Linked DNA regions of Tamandua tetradactyla. Each later gene encodes a partner of the first gene's protein in a complex. Links are inferred from orthologs where the notes say so. Each region holds a gene or a part of one and is shown on either strand. Other genes may lie near its edges. The genes, in order: SYMPK and SSU72.

Evidence for each region.
Region 2: the proteins of SYMPK (region 1) and SSU72 are in contact, whole or in part, in a crystal structure (PDB 4H3K), measured with the Homo sapiens proteins. The link is inferred for Tamandua tetradactyla from reciprocal best matches to the Homo sapiens genes SYMPK and SSU72. Residues at the interface, in NP_004810.2 of Homo sapiens: Val123, Lys127, Leu131, Gln135, Asp175, Asn176, Asp177, Gly178, Thr181, His182, Lys185, Glu188, Pro204, Arg205, Arg206, Gln207, Ser250, Ile251, Thr254, Thr255, Asn262, Ala290, Ser292, Gln293, Ser295, Ser296, Lys299, Asn300, Leu303, His304; in NP_054907.1 of Homo sapiens: Glu113, Tyr116, Asp117, Val120, Asn124, Glu127, Gln128, Glu129, Thr130, Cys131, Gln132, Pro133, His135, Asp167, Glu169, Asn170, Asp173, Gln177, Glu180, Thr186, Phe187, Leu188, His189, Thr190, Val191, Phe193.

The regions. Positions count from the first base shown.
Region 1 is NC_135342.1:15,201,622-15,209,182, reverse strand, and holds the start of SYMPK (symplekin), read right to left. Parts: upstream 3,187-7,561; 5' UTR 3,067-3,186; intron 884-3,066; exon of another isoform or gene 795-883; intron 1-794. Other genes in the region: FOXA3 (hepatocyte nuclear factor 3-gamma), read left to right, coding at 4,128-4,196. UniProt on the Homo sapiens protein: Scaffold protein that functions as a component of a multimolecular complex involved in histone mRNA 3'-end processing. Specific component of the tight junction (TJ) plaque, but might not be an exclusively junctional component. May have a house-keeping rule.
Region 2 is NC_135328.1:223,385,934-223,394,033, forward strand, and holds the start of SSU72 (RNA polymerase II subunit A C-terminal domain phosphatase SSU72), read left to right. Parts: upstream 1-5,004; 5' UTR 5,005-5,197; coding exon 5,198-5,277; intron 5,278-8,100. UniProt on the Homo sapiens protein: Protein phosphatase that catalyzes the dephosphorylation of the C-terminal domain of RNA polymerase II. Plays a role in RNA processing and termination. Plays a role in pre-mRNA polyadenylation via its interaction with SYMPK.

The DNA.
Region 1 (7,561 bases):
ATGTTCTAAGAAATTATCACAATGATGAATATGCAACTATGTGATCATACTGTGAATTACTGATTATATATGTAGAACGGAATGATCAAAAGTTACGAATGTTTGCATTTGTTTGGTGTTTTTTGGTATTTTAAAAAAAACTAAAAATTAATGAAAAAAAGGAACTTCATATACTATAGACATGAGCTATTCAATAGATGTTTTCTGAATGAAAATGACAGCCTCCTCCTTACCCTCCTTGCTGCCTGTCACCCCCACATCTTGCTCAGAGTCAAAGCCAAAATCCCCACCAAGACCTAAAAGACCTTATATGATCTGGTCCCTCCAATCTCTGCCCTCATTTCCCACTCTGTCCTCTCAGCTCCAGCCATTCTCGCCTCCTTGCTATTCCCCGAACATGCCAAGCACATCCATTCCTCAATGCCTTGGTGCTTCTTTTCCTTATACCATGAACACTCTCCTCCCCCCAGATCCGAACCCCCTTCCTCATTTTCTTCAGGTCTCCACTCAAATATTTTCAGTGAGGTCTTCCCTGACTACCCTGTTTCAAATTTCAGTTCACTTTTCCTACTTCCCTGTGTTGCTTTACTTTTCCCCATAGGCTTTATTATCAATATACTACATATTTAAAACTTCCATGAGGGCAAAGGCTTTTCTATTTTTTCAAAATTTCCAAACATCACCGCCCCCCACTCCACACCCTGGTAACTTCTAATCTACTTTCTGTCTCTATGAATTTGCCATTTCTACATATTTCATATAAATGAAATTATACAGGATTTGTCCTTACGTGCCTTGCTTATTTCATTTGGCATTTTCAAGGTTCATCCATGTTGTGCCATGTATTGGAATTTCATTCCTTTTACAGCTGAATAATATTCCACTGTATGGAGAGATCAGATTTCCATTATCCATTCATCCACTGATGGACACTTTGGATTGCTACCACCTTTTGGCCACTGTGAATAATGTGATGAACACTGGTGTAGAAACACCTGCTTGAATCCCTGCTTTTAATTCTTTCAGGTATATACCTAAGAGTGGAATTGCCAAGTCATATGGTTAATTTTAATTCAGCTTTCTGAGGAACAGCTATACTGGTTTCCACAGTAGCTGCACCATTTTACACTACGACCAACAATGTATTAGGATTACAATTTCTCAAGTTATTTTCCACATTTTTAGTAATAGCCATCCTTGTTGCTATTTTGATTTGCATTTCTCTAATAGCTAAAAATGCTCAGCATTTTTCATGTTTATTGCCCATTTTTACATTCTCTTTGGTAAAATGTATAAGTCCTTCGTCCATTTTTAAATTGGGCTGTTTGTCTCTTTTTTTGTGGTAGAGTTGTAAGAGTTCTTTATATATTCTGGATATTTAGTCCTCATCATATATATTTGTGACTACTTCCTCCTGTTCTGTAGGATGTCTTTTCACTTTCTTGACAATGTCCTAAGAAGCAAAAATTTTTTCATTTTGATGAAAAATTATTGTTTCTTCTGTCACACGTGTGTTTGGTGTTCTATCTGACACCACTGTGGAATCCAAAGTTGGGAAGATTTGTCCCATGTTATCTTCTAAGAGTTTTATGGTTTTAGCTCTTACATTTAGGTCCTAGATATATTTTAGATTTGTTTTTGTCTAAGGCATGAGGTAGGGAGTCCAACTTCATTATACTGAATGTGAACACCTAGTTTTCCCAGTACCATTTGTTGAAGAGACTATTCTTTCCCCACAGCATGTCCTTGGCATGCTTGTTGAAATTCAAGTGGCTGGAGATACTTTTTTTCTTTTTGGTCGGTTTGCTCATTTTCTATATCCCTGGCATGTAAAACAATGCCTGGCATCCAGTAAGTACTCAATAAATATCTGTTCAGTGAATGCTGACTCCTATCAAAGAGTATTCCCAATCAGTGGGCTCACATCCCCTGCCCTTCGGCCCTGGAACGCTTGAAAAATAGTAACAGCTGTTATTTATTGAACATTTAACATGCAGGGCCCAATTTTTCAACAGTTGTTGGAAGTGATGTCTGTTAATTAGTTTAAACCTCACACAAAAAAACAACCCTCTGTGGTAGGTTCTATTTTAATCTCCATCCTACACATGGGGAAACTGAAGGTCAAGGAGATAAAATCGCTTGACTAAAGGCACACAGCCTGTAAAGTGAAGAAGAGCCAGCAGTGTAGCTGCAGAATCCGTCCTCATCAGCGCTGTCTCTCAGAAAGGAATTGGTTCTCCATCCCTAGGTCAGCTCACAAAAACCCAGGGCCATGGCCACCCATCCACCTAGCAGAACACAGTGAATCTCCTCCTCTACCCACATCATTGCTTCCCCCTCCCTTCCAGTGCAGTCCTCACCGAGTACCACTGCCCTACTCCCATCTGGGAGTATGAGGGCTTCCCCGTACACGCCACAGAGTGGCCCACGGTATATCTTTCATTCATTCAGCAAACATTACTCAGCGTCTCTCGTGCGACCTGAGCTGTGCTGGGTACACACGGGTGACCTAAATATACCCTGTCTCTGCCCTCGTGGAGCTCACGGACACAAACATCATCAGTAGTTACTTAAATAAAGGTCTAATAACACACGTGACATGAAGGAAATGACCAAGGACCTATGAGATCCTTTAACAGGATTGGAGGGCGGGGAGCGAGAAAAGGAGGCTTTTCAGAGGAAGTGATGTTGGCTGAAGGATGAATGGGAGTTAGCTTATATGAATGGGTAAAAGGATGTTAAGGGCAGACAGGCAGCAAATGCAAAAACCCTTAGGGAGGCGCACAGCAAATTTGAGGAACCGACAGGCCAGTGCAGCTTTCAAAGCGTGGGGAGTGAGCAAAGAGGCAGAGACAAGACTGGCGCGGTTGGCGGAGCGGACGCTCCTTGGGGGCCACGTTGGAACTTTGCCCTGAGGGCACTGGGGAACCACGGAAGGGTCCTGAGCAGGGGATGATACTGAGGTCCGGGACGCCCTGCTCCCCTCTCTTCTCTGCGCCCTTCTCCCAGTGTTCTCAGAGTCCCTCCTCCCATCGTCCCCGGGTCCCCACGCCGTTCCCCGCTCACCGCGGCTCCGGCCTCAGTCCCCCTCGCGGCCCCTCAGCAGCGCCTCACACAGACTTCGCTACCGCCATCTTCCGTTCGCCGCCGTGACACTGCGCACGCGCTGCGCACGCAGGGCCGCCGGGAAATGCAGTCCAGACCGCGGCCCGTGTCTGCCCCTGTCTCGTGCGGCGCCCTCGGACTTCCGCCTCCCTCCGGCATTCGCCGGGACGGCCCCTCATTTCCTGTCTCGGAGAGACATACCTTCTGGGAAATGTAGTCCCGTGGCGGAGGCTCGGGGCGGAAAGGGGGGAAGAGGCTTCTGGGAAATGGAGTTCACGGTGGTCCTGAGTCCTTGGACGGCTAGTGTCGCGGGGAGTGGAGAGCCCCGAAGGCGAAGCTCCCTAGGTGTTGAAGGTGGTCTGTTGCCCTAGAGGGATTTGAAAAGAGATCCCTATTTCCTCCATCTTTGGCCTGGACGTTTTACACAGACCGGAGCATTTCCAGTCGTCGGCAGCCCCAATCTACCCTTCGTCCATTGGGAGTGTGGTTTCAAGGACTCTTAAGGGTCCTTACAATCGTATATAGGGACCCCTGGACGCTGCGCCCCCTTCCTCCGGGACTGCCACGCGAGTTTCTGGCTATTCGCCCTTTCATGTCGAGATAATGAAAACCCCTGGTGCAGTAGGGCCCCAGAGTTCTGCCTTCGGGACCCTTCCTATCAGCAATGCCTGTCACCAGTAGCTCACTCCTCAGCCTTCACCTGCTCTCGCGCCCCCGGCTGCGGCTCCCGGCGCCTGAGGTCCTCTCAATCCCGCAGGGGGCGCCCTAGTCCGAGCGCGCCGTCCTGGGGAGGCGGGAGGGGAGCCTGGGGCGGGCGAACGGCGGGGGTGGGGGCGGTACGGGGGGGGGTTGTCCCGGCTATAAAGCGAGGCCACCTCCAGCGGCGCGTTCGGGACGGCGGGGACCCCGGGCGGTCAGACGGGCGGGCGCCGGTCGGAACTCCCGCCATATCCGCTGATAGCTCCGAAGTTCTCGGTTCCCCGGGGCCCGAGCGGGGGCAGGTGGGGGCGCAAGCCCCGGGGATGCTGGGCTCGGTGAAGATGGAAGCCCACGACCTGGCCGAGTGGAGCTACTACCCCGAGGCGGGCGAGGTGTGTCCTCGGGGATGGTGGAGCGGGAAGTGAGGGTTAGAGACCCGGGTTGGGGCTCAAATGGGGGCCGAGGCATGTAGTTTGGGAGCCGTGGAACCAGGGACACGAAGACCAGGTGTGGGAGGCAGGGACAGAGCGTGAGTAAACGGTCTGGACAGGCGAGTTGGGGGGTGAGGGCTTAAATGGGAGTCGAGAAAAGTTTGACAAGGATCTGGTCTTAGCTTAAACGTGAGGGCTGGGTATTCGGGATCCAAAGTCAACAAACCCAAAATAGGAATCAGAGCTCTAAGATAGGGGACAGAGCTGGGAGGTTGGAAATGGGGCTCAAAGTTGAGGGAAATATAGGGACTAAAAGAGTGTAAGTGTTGTCATCAAGGAACTGGAAGCCAGTGCAGCTGTGAGAGGGGAGTGAGGAATGAGCTGAGGGTTAGAATATGGTGTTAAAGATGGGGGTTCTGGGCCCTCTAAGATAGGGTCAGGTATAGGGCTTGGCGCTCCAGGGTAAGAGATGGAGGCACTCAGAGATGAAGCTTCAATGTGGAGGGGTCTGAGATAATAGGCAGGTTAGAGACTAGGAGATGTGGGCATCAGCACTAGTGGGGGTAGTGGGAAATACAGTCTCCTCCCCCTATTCCTCTTCATGATCCTCACCCCGTCCTGGCTGAATTTTAGTACTTTAACTCTTATTAGACACCCTCAGCCGGGACTCCCCTCTTGGGGGCCTTCAGGTTAAACCCCCATCCCCAGCAATCTCCAGCAATTGTTAAGGTTCTCATCCAGTCCCATCTCAGACAAGACCTCTGAGATGAATTTGGGGATGGGGGATTCCAGCTGACAGGAAGTCCTTCCCCAAGTTGAACTCCCATTCCACTTGCTCAAGGACTCCTTAGCACACTTTCTTTATAGTCAATATTGTTTGGTCTGGAGGAGGAGGTCGTGGTGTGAGAGTTATGGGAGTCTGGAGTCTTGGGTTCCTAACCTGAAAGGGGACTATGTGGTTGGAATGGCTGGTTTCTCCAAGGAAAGAGCTGAAACCTGAGGTTACAGGATCCCTGGTGTGCCTTATCCCTGGGTCTGGAGTTTGACACTGTAGGTTGGGATTCCTGGATCCCCTGGCCTGCGAAGGTTAGCCAGGGACCTGGGAGGGCCCAATCCTGGGGCTGTGGAGGGTGAGGTGCACGCAGGGTGAGGAAGGGCCAGCTGGGGAAGGGATTGGGATGGCTGAGAGGGGGAGGCAGGGCGGCCAGAGGTGTCAGTTGTGAAATGGGGAAAACAGAGACTAGGATGGAAGGTGGAGGCTCTTGGACAGTGTGAGGGGGGTGCAGTGAAGGGGTATCCCAGTTGGACCCCTGGAGAGCTGAGTCTGGGGACATGGTTCAAGGAAACCACCTACAAATAAATGTTTTGTGGGCACATTTAAAAAAACTCATGGGTTTCTGGACCGGAGGAGTCAAAATTTGGGCTTCAATCTGAATGGATTCAAGTTTAAGGGACAATGTGTATGGACAATAGATGATTCCAAAATCAAAGAACAGTCTAGAGGTGTTCAAAATAGGAATCAGATCAACACTTGAGGGCATATCTTGAAAGAATTGACTTACAGGGGCCTGGAATTTGTTTGGAGGATACTGTCTGTGGGTGTCTGCAGCCCTTCCATCAGGTGAGCCCAGTTCTTCTCTGGGTCAGAACCATGGGGGTGGAGAAACAGCTGCACACACCCAGCACTATACCCTCTTGTTAGGATAATGTTGACACCCCAGGCTGTCCATTCATCAGGAGAGAACTTGGACAATTGTCACCCTGGGGTATCCCTGTTAACCTCAGGTTCTTACTGATCAGATGGTCCAACTGGTCCCCCATTTTAGAGATGGAAAAACCCAAGCCTAGAGGAATACTGTGATGTCAGGGCTAGGACTGGGGCTGGATACCAGGCTTCTTTCTGATTTCACACTACCTCCCTCTGCTCTTTGTCATACCCTCCCCCAGAGACAATAAGGAAATGAAAGGTGAGAAATTCCAGCCTCCTGGAGAGGGGGTGCAGGTCCCCGGAGGGCTTCCCCCCAATCTCAACCCCGCCCTGGTGGCAGGGAGATCCGGCTCAGACCCGGACACTGGGGGTTCATCCCTGCCCTGGGGCGTGGGAAAGCCTAGGGTGGATTAGAGCAGCTGGAGTGCTTGAGGTCAGACCTCCAGAAGGACTTCCGGCTGGGTGGGGAGCCAGGAAAGGAGTGCCCTGGGGTCCTACTCTGTTTTACTCTGCAATACCAGACAGCTCGACTGAGTTGGGAGAAGTGAGAGTGGGAAAGGCATTTGGGAATCCTTCCCCAACTTTCTGATCCCATTGAATCCATCACCTTCTCCTTTCATCTCTTTCCTTAATCTGGGGAGGGGGCAGAACCAGCCGCCCCAGTGGGAAGACATACAGACAAACACAAGAGATAACAGCAACCTGGAAGTGGGAAGGAGAGAAGGGAGGGTTTCCTCTCAACTGGGGTTGGGTGTCACCTATCTCTGACTCCCTGAATGGTCCTGGGCAAGTCTTTTTTCTTTTTGACCCTGGGGGCCTGCAAATGCTTACAGTGCAGAGGATGAGATGAGATCCACAGTCTCACAGCAAAGGTGGCATCAGCCAGAGATTTCACAGCACCCCAGTGCCATGGGACTCCAGCCAGTGGTGGGACCACCTCCCTCCCAGGCTCCCTGGGGAAGGGAGCGGGGCAGAGAAAGATGCAGGTGGAGGAGGGGGGAGAGTAGATGGAAGGGAGGAGGTGAGAGGGGTGGATAGCTGCCGAAAGAGAGAAACCACCACGTGAGATACTTCATATTCTCCAGGTTTAACTTATTCAGTGTGTCTTTCCCGCCAGACTATCAACTCCAAGAAGGCAGACATTTCTGTCTGTCTTGGTCACTGCTTTTATAGCATGATACAGATCACAAGTTCTGGAACCAGGCTGCCTAGATTCAGAATCCCAATTCTGCCCCTGGACCTCAGCTTCCTCAACTATAAAATGGGATTATAAAAGCAGCCTTCCCTCAAGATATAAGGAAGATTAAAGGAGACAGCCCCAGCAAAGTAACTGGCAGAGCAGTGGCCAAGAACCCTTTGTTGATTAAGAAGAAAGAATATATAGAGGGTTATTTAGAGAGAGAGAGAGAAGTATCTATTATACTTTATAGTGCTAAGATTCACATTTTCTGCCATTTCAATACCTCTGAGAATGGGATATATTTTACAGTAGATGGTGTCTAACAATTGTAATTGACAGTGTTTTATTTTTCCATTCTTATTGATACATAAAATAATGGTACAACCAACAAACGACAATTTCTCTTAGACATGATGATATGTAGTAAATAGATGTGAA
Region 2 (8,100 bases), on another chromosome or scaffold:
AAAGGATTACAGGGAAGCATCCCAGAAGCTTGAGCAGGGCCAGGAGTAGTCCCCAAACAGCCAGCACGCCTCTCCTTTGGAGAGTCCAATCACATGCACATCTGACTGCCTGAAGTTCCCCCGCAGCTCACTGGCACACTGCTCACATTCTTACCCCTTCTTTCTTTCTGTCTCCTTTTGCATGGGTTCTATTACTTTGTCTTCAATTTAACACATCTTCTCTTCTGCAATGTCTAATGTACAATTCATCCCATCTAGTGTATTTTTTCCTATCAGATGTTGTGGCAACAACCTATAAAAGACAAATTGGTAAGCTGGACTTTGTAAAAATTAAAAACTTCTGTCCTTCAAAAGGCATTGATAAGAGAATGAAAAGACAAGCTACGGACTGAGAGAAAATACTAGGTTAACAATAAGAAGGCAAATAACCAATGAAAGATGTACAAAAGATTTGAAGAGACGCTTCCCTTCAAGGAGAATGTTCAGATGGAAAATATGCATATGACGATATGCACCACTTCATTGGTCCCTATATAAATTAAAACCACAATGAGACTTAAATATAAAAGCTCGAACTATCAAACACCTAGAAGAAACCGTGGGGAAGCATCTTCAGGACCTTGTGTCAGGCAATGGTTTCTTAGATTTTCCACTCAAAGCACAAGTAACAAAAGAAAAAAATGGATAAACGAGACCACATCAAAAAACAAAACAAAACTTTTGTGCCTCAAAGGAGTTTTCATGAAAGTAAACTGATAACCTCCACAAAGAGAGAAAATATTTGGAAATCACACATCTGATAAAGGCTTAATATCCAGAATATAGGGAAAAAAATCCTTTAACAACAAACAACTCAATTTAAAAATGGGCAAAAGACTTGAATAGATATCTCTCCAAAGAAGATATACAACTGGCCAATACATGAAAAGATGAGCTGTCAGAGAAATGCAAATCAAAATACGATGAGACACCATTTCACACCCATTAGAACAGCTATTTTTAAAAATAGACTGTTGCTCAGATGTGGCCTCTCTCAGCCAACACAACAGGCAAACTCACCACCCTCCCCCTGTCTACGTGGGACATGACTCCCAGGGGTGTGGACCTTTCTGGCAACATGGGATAGAAATCCTAGAATTAGCTGAGACTCAGCATCAAGGGATTGAGAAAAACCCTGGAATGAGCTGAGACTCAGCATCAAGGGATTAAGAAAACCTTGACCAAAACGGGGAAGAGTGAAACGAGACAAAGTGTCAATGGCTGAGAGACTCCCGAGTCCAGAGGTTATCCTGGAGGTTATTCTTATGCATTAAGTAGATATCACCTTGTTAATCAAGACATAATGGAAAGGCTGGAGGGAACTGCCTGAAAATGTAGAGCTGTGTTCCAGTAGCCATGTTTCTTGATGATGATTCAACAATGATAGAGCTTTCACAATGAGACTCTTTGAATGTGAAAACCTTGTGTCTGATGCTCCTTTTAACTACTATAGCAACAGAAGGGTAGAATATATGGAATAAAAATAAATAATAGGGGGAACAAATGTTAAAATAAATTTAGTTTGAAATGCTAGTGGTAAATGAAAGCAAGGGGTAAGGGGTATGGTATGTATGTATAATCTTTTTTTTCTCTCTTATCGTTTTATTTCTTTTTCTGTTGCCTTTTTCTTTTTCTAAATCGATACAAATGTTCTAAGAAATGATGAATATGCAACTGTAATGATATTAAGAATTACTGATTGTATATGTAGAATGGAATGGTATCTTAATGTTTTGTTGTTAATTTTTTTAATTAATAAAAAATAATAAGGTATGATATAGGGTTCTTGTAGTTAATGCATGACTGTTCTGAAAGCTCACAACTTCTCTAATAAAGAAAAAGAAACAAACAAAAGAGCGCACAATGAGATACCACACCTTAAAGTGTCTAAAAGTAAAAAGACTAATCATACCAAGGGTTGGCAAGGACACGAAACAACTAGAATGCTCATACAGTGCTGGCGGGAACGTAAAATAGTACATCTCCTTTGGAGAACATTTTGGCAGTCTCTTGAGGAGTTCAGCATACACAAAAACATATCATCCGGGCGTTTCCCTCCTGGCTATTAACCAAGGAGACATGAAAGCCTCTGTCCATACAAAGACTTGCATATGGGTGGTCACAGGAGCTTCATGTATAAAATCCAAAACTGGAAATCCAAATGTCCTTCCACGGGTGAGTAATAAACAGTGTGCATGGAAAAACTGCGGCCTATCATAGAATGGATTATTTCTCAGCAATAAAAAACAAGAACCAACCATTGATACATGCTACTTGGATGGATCGCATAATAATTATGCTGAAGTGATAGTAGCCTGATCAAAAAAGAGTATATACTGTTTGATTCTGTTTATATAAAATTCTAGAAAATGCAAACTAATAAATAGTGGCAGCAATCAGATCAACGGTTGCCTGGGAAAGTGGGATTCAGATCAGGGGGAGGGCAGGGAGGAATTATAGAAGGTTATGAGAGAATTTCTGAGTGGTATGTTCATCCTCCAATGTTAGAATTGTTTCACAGATACAAACAGACTTGTCAAATTGTACGCTTTAAAATGTCGTTTATTATATGTCAAGTATAGCTCATTGGAGCTGTTAAAAAAGTTGTCTTTACTACTCATGGACCAAAAGCTTGTTTTAAAGTGTTCAGATTGTTCTATTATTCCCAGCTCTTGAGGAATTTGTGATTCTATTTGTTGAAAATGCCAAATTTCCTTTATGGCAGTTCGCTGTGTGGTCTCAACATTTTATTGGGAATGTACATTCAAAGGTGGTTATTCCTTCTTATGAAGGCCACAGACCCAGGACTGTGGAAAGGACCTAAAGGATAGAGTCAGCTGAAACTGGAGATCCCAGAGATTCTAGACTAGCCATAATATTATTTTACCTTGGGTCCCCACATCATAATGGAAGAATAAATCTGGGCCTCAGATGCGATGAAACACCCATGACCCCCCCACGTCTCCGCAGAATGGCCATGTATTACCTGCAAGGACCCTTGGTGCTTTCCCTGGCACCTTCTCCCTCATCTATGTGCTCCACGAGTACTCAGTGTCTTCACAGGGACAGCGGCTCTAAAAAGCCATTTCAGCATATAGCAGCCATTGCACATGATGATGAAAAGGTCCCTAGCCTTTTAGAATTCATTCTGGGAATGGGGTGGGGCCGAGGAGCAGAACACTAGTGTTCAGAACCACAGAAGCAAGTTGGAGAGCTGGGAAAGGCCCCAAGTCAGTGAGGGAAACAGAGGAGGGAGGGAAGAAGCTTTCTTGGAGGCAGTGACTTTTGTGCTGTGATAACTGGCCGGGCAAAGCAGCCCGGGGAAGATGGGTGTTAGGAAGGGAACTTGAGTTGTGGAAGCAGCACGTGCAAAGGTTAAAAAAAAGAAGGTATGGAGGAGTCCACCAACAGATAAATGGATAAACAAAATGTAGTTTAACCATACAATGGAATTTCAGCTTAAATTAGAAATGTTAGAACATGCTACAAAGTGGATGAATATTAAAGACATTACACTGGGTGAAATATGCCAGACCATAAGAACAAATAGCGTATGATCTCTCTTATAAGAAATACTACTGTGTATGCAGCAGGCGGGGAAGTTGCCCTCATTCCTTCTCATTGATCTATCCTCCATGTCCTTTGAAGCACATGCTTTCTTGTTGCAGTCATCCACTGACCCCTGACCATGCCCCCTGGGTCCCTAGAGATCTTTAGCACCTGGTGTTCAGCCTTTTTCTCCATGGGCACAACGACAGGAGACTCCAACCGTTCTGTGTCAGGGAGCCGTCTTCCATTCAAGACTCTGTCACACCTAGCCTACAGGCTACCTTCCCATCCCGCTTCCGGCATCCCACGCGACCACCCCTTTGCTCCAGCGACAACTCTTCCACTCCGCTGCGATCGACGACTCAGCGCGCACAGCCCCGGCCGCGACCTCCTCCTGTTCTCAATCCTCGTCTCATCCAGTTCCAATGCCGCGGAGGCTCGTCGCCAGTCCCTAGCCCCTCTCCCCTCGGTTGCACCCGCACAGCCGAACACCCCTCGCTGCCCGCCTGCGTCCGGCAGCTGGACGTGGCTGTCGAGAAGCGCACACCGCGGAGCCGTCCCACGGAACCAGGGCCGCAAGCTCTCGCGAGCCTGCGGTGCCTCCCAACAAGCCCACCGGCAGGCCGCAGCCCATCCGCTCCAGCCCGGGACGTCTCTCACAGGCCCGCCCTCCTCACGGCGCTTTGTTTCCTAATGCTTCGGAGAGTCCATGCTAGGAATCACTTCCGGCAGCCGGGCGACGACGTCCGAGGTCGCCAGCGGACGCTGGGGCCCTGACTGGCGTGGCGGGAAGGCGACGGAGAAGGCGGGCAGGCGCGGCGTCTAGGCTCAGGCGCGCGGCGTGAGGAGAGCGGGCAACGCAGGCAGGACACTGACCAGCACCCCAACCTCGCTCCCTCGCGGCGAAGACGGCGACGGGACGCTGTGACGTCACGGACGCCGCGCGACGCCTAGGGAGGCACTGCCTGCGCGGGCGGGGGCGATGTGATGCCAGGGGCGCCGGCGCAGCGCTTTAACGTCACTCCCAGCGACCACGGCGGGGGCGATGTGACGCCAGGGGCGCCGGCGCAGCGCTTCATCGTCACTCCCAGCGACCACGGCGGGGGCGATGTGACGCCAGGGGCGCCGGCGCAGCGCTTCATCGTCACTCCCAGCGACCACGGCGGGGGCGATGTGACGCCAGGGGCGCCGGCGCAGCGCTTCATCGTCACTCCCAGCGACCACGGCGGGGCGTTGTGACGCCACGAGCGCCGGCGCGGAGCTCCGGGCTCGACGCCCGCGAGCCACTGAGCGGACCGCGGCCTTCGGCTGCGCACGCCCGGAGCGGACGCCGGACGCAGCACGCCTCTGCTCGCCGACAGCGGCGCGCTGCCCGGGAAGCCGGCGCTCCCAAAGGGCGGGGCGTCACCTCTGCCCGTGGGTCGGGCGCTCTGGGCCGGCGCGAGGAGGCCGCCGGCCCCGCGCGTCCTGACGCGCTACGTCCCCGCCGCTTCCGCATCGCTGACTTCCGCCTGCGCTGCCGCCATTTTGCTCGCGCGGAAGCGCCACCGCTGGGTGGGAGTCCCGGCGTGGGAGAGTCGCGGCCGCCGCGGACGGTGCCGCCACCGCCATGCCGTCGTCGCCGCTGCGGGTGGCGGTGGTGTGCTCGAGCAACCAGAACCGGAGCATGGAGGCGCACAACATCCTCAGGTAGTTGGAGCCTCCGCCCTAGCCCGGCGCCCCGTCGGACGCCGGCCGACCGGCTGTCCCTCCCGCCGCCCACCCCTTGCCCGGGGGCCCGTGCCGGACGGCGGGCGGCAGCCCCGGCTCTGGCCACCCCGCAGGCCTGCCGCTGGCCGGGCAGGGCGCCTCGGCCGAAGGAGGCCCGAAGGGCCCGCGGCTCGCGACGGCGCGGGGCGGCTTCATTGACGCGCTCGTTGGCTCCCGCGGCGCCGAGCGTAGCGAGGAGTCCACCAGCGCTCTGGCCGCCGCGCCCCGCTCCGCTCGCCAGCGCGCCGTGTCCCGCACGTGTGCTAGCCTGTCGGGAAATTAGCTTCTTTACCGACATGTTCACGTGTCGCGGAACTCTAAAGTTCCCAGTAAATCCGCAAAGCTGGTGGTGGCTGCAGCCAATTTGCATGCATTTCTGCCTATCTGAGAACTAGCAGGCTCCTCTAAAATACTCCACGTGATGCGGTGAATGTCAAGAGCAAGGTATAGGTCTGAGCGATACTAGTGTCCAACGATTGCTTACACAACGTAGCCTCAGGTAGAATGACTCTTTAAAAAGAGCAGGAAAGAATCTGTTCACCATATGAATTTGTGGATTTTCTACTATCTACATTTTCAAGTATCGCACACCCCTCCCCACATAAAAGCCTTCAATCGGGAATTTCTGGAACACAAGTGAATTCGGTATATTTCAGTATTCATCCTTTGTGACCTCTGTGTTGTATGTGTTAAATAAAAGTTGAATCCCGTTTGATAAAGTTTCTTCTTTCTAAAACACTTTCATTACAGTTAAAATGTACACATCAACTTCCATAGTAGAACAAAGTTGAAACCCCCTTTTTTCCCTATGTTTCCACACGTGGACTTTAAAGGAAAACAGTGCCTCGCTTTTCTTACCACTTTCCAGCTACGAATGGGGTATTAGGCACCTCGGGGAAAATTAGAATCTCGCCACCCCCCCCCCCCCCTTGTTTTTATGAATGGGGATGTTGATTTATGTAAGCTTTCCCTGATTATATCTGCTAACTCTGAGTTACTTTATGGTTGGATTTTTCTTCCTAACATTTACCACACTGTTCACTGTGTTTGCTTGATGTTATTTGTTTTGTAGGGTGTGATACGCTTTGAACCTAACAAATCAGTGTGAAGGTTGTTTTGAAAAGTGAGTGTTCTGCTAGAATTGTGATGGGTCTGAGCCCAAAACAGCAATTGTCTGTAGAGAGTACCCTTAAAAGTTTTATAAATGTAAGCACAAGGTTTGCATCCCTAGAAAACAAAATTACCCAAGGGAAACAAAATTGTTTTCTCTAATTGAAATGACAAGTAATCTGAGACCTCATTCTGCCAGTCTGGCTAGTGATTCTGTTTCTACTCTAAAGCTCTGTGCAGCCAAATAAGAGTGAAATCTTACAAAACAAAGTTTTAATTTTTACGTTTCACAACTTTGTTAAAATGAAATCGGGTTTAGTGACTTTTAAAGGCATGCCAATCTGAGCCTTCCCTGGGTCTTTCACTGCAAGATAAGTCCTTGTTCAGTTGAAAGTGGCTGTAGCAAGCACAGCATTGGGTCCCTTGTGGAATGGGGGCGCAGAGCGTATTACCTTCCAAGTAATCACCAAGAGGGGATTCTTAGGTGTCCTCCTACCTGCTTTACTGTCTTCCAAGCTTACTCCTAAAAAGCAGACTTAGAGTGAGGCAAAAGGAGGTAAGTTTAGAGTAATGCTGTCATTGTGCTGTGAAGTCCTGTTATCTTAGGCATCTCTACTTTCTCAGTTGCTTATATTTGGAGAGTGTTTTCCTGTTGAAATAGCTTATTTTAATTAAAAAGATATTTACTTCTACAAAAATTACTGTTGAAAATACGCTAGAAGATAAAGATTACTTGTAGGATACCATTTTTGGTATACTTCTGGCTATCTTTCTTAAGCACATGTGCACTTATGGGGAATCAAAGTACTGTTTTGTAATCTCTTCACTTAATACTAGGAACATATTTTTTTAATCTGTTTATTCATAGCAAATAATTGAGTGGTCAGAAACTATGGCACAGTGATCCAGAGGAGCCCTAAGCAGCCATTAATTTTGTAACTAATCCCCCATAAGTAGGCTGTTCCCTACTTTTCAGTCTTAAAAGTGTCAACATCCTGGTGGTGTATAAATATCTTTACAACACCCTCTTCTGATTATTTCCTTGGGGTCACTTCCTAAAAGTGGAGTTGCTGAGTTAAAAGGCTGACATGTTCTACATTTTCGTGCAATTTGTTAACTGCATTCCAGAAAAGTACAGAGTTTCCATTTCCTCATAACCTGGGCATTATTTTTATCTTTGCAGACTGGTGGGGTAAAAAGGATCTCACCCTTGCTTTAGCTCTAAAATTGCTATTAAGATTGAAATATCACATGTGATTTTCATTTTGGAAAACTACCTATTCACTTATCTGCTTTTTCTCCTATTTGGATTATTTACAGGCTTTTAAAAGCATCTTTAGGTAATATAAGATAGTTTTCTGTTAGAAGCTAGGAGAATTTATAAAAAGTCAAATTTAGAGACTTGTATAGGCCTTAAAAATGATTATAAAAAACGTAGGAAAATGCTCATCATAAGGGAAAAGCTGGAAAATTGTGCGTGCAGTTTAGTTACAACTAAAACTACGTAACGTATGCAAAAGAAAACTTGAATGAAATAGACCAGAAGGAATGTAGTTAAGTGAACATGCGTAGTTGGTCCATCAGAAATCCTTTTTTTATTTTATCCTATTGAAAATCAGCTTGGAATGTATTTTCCTGATAAAGACAAGTGGT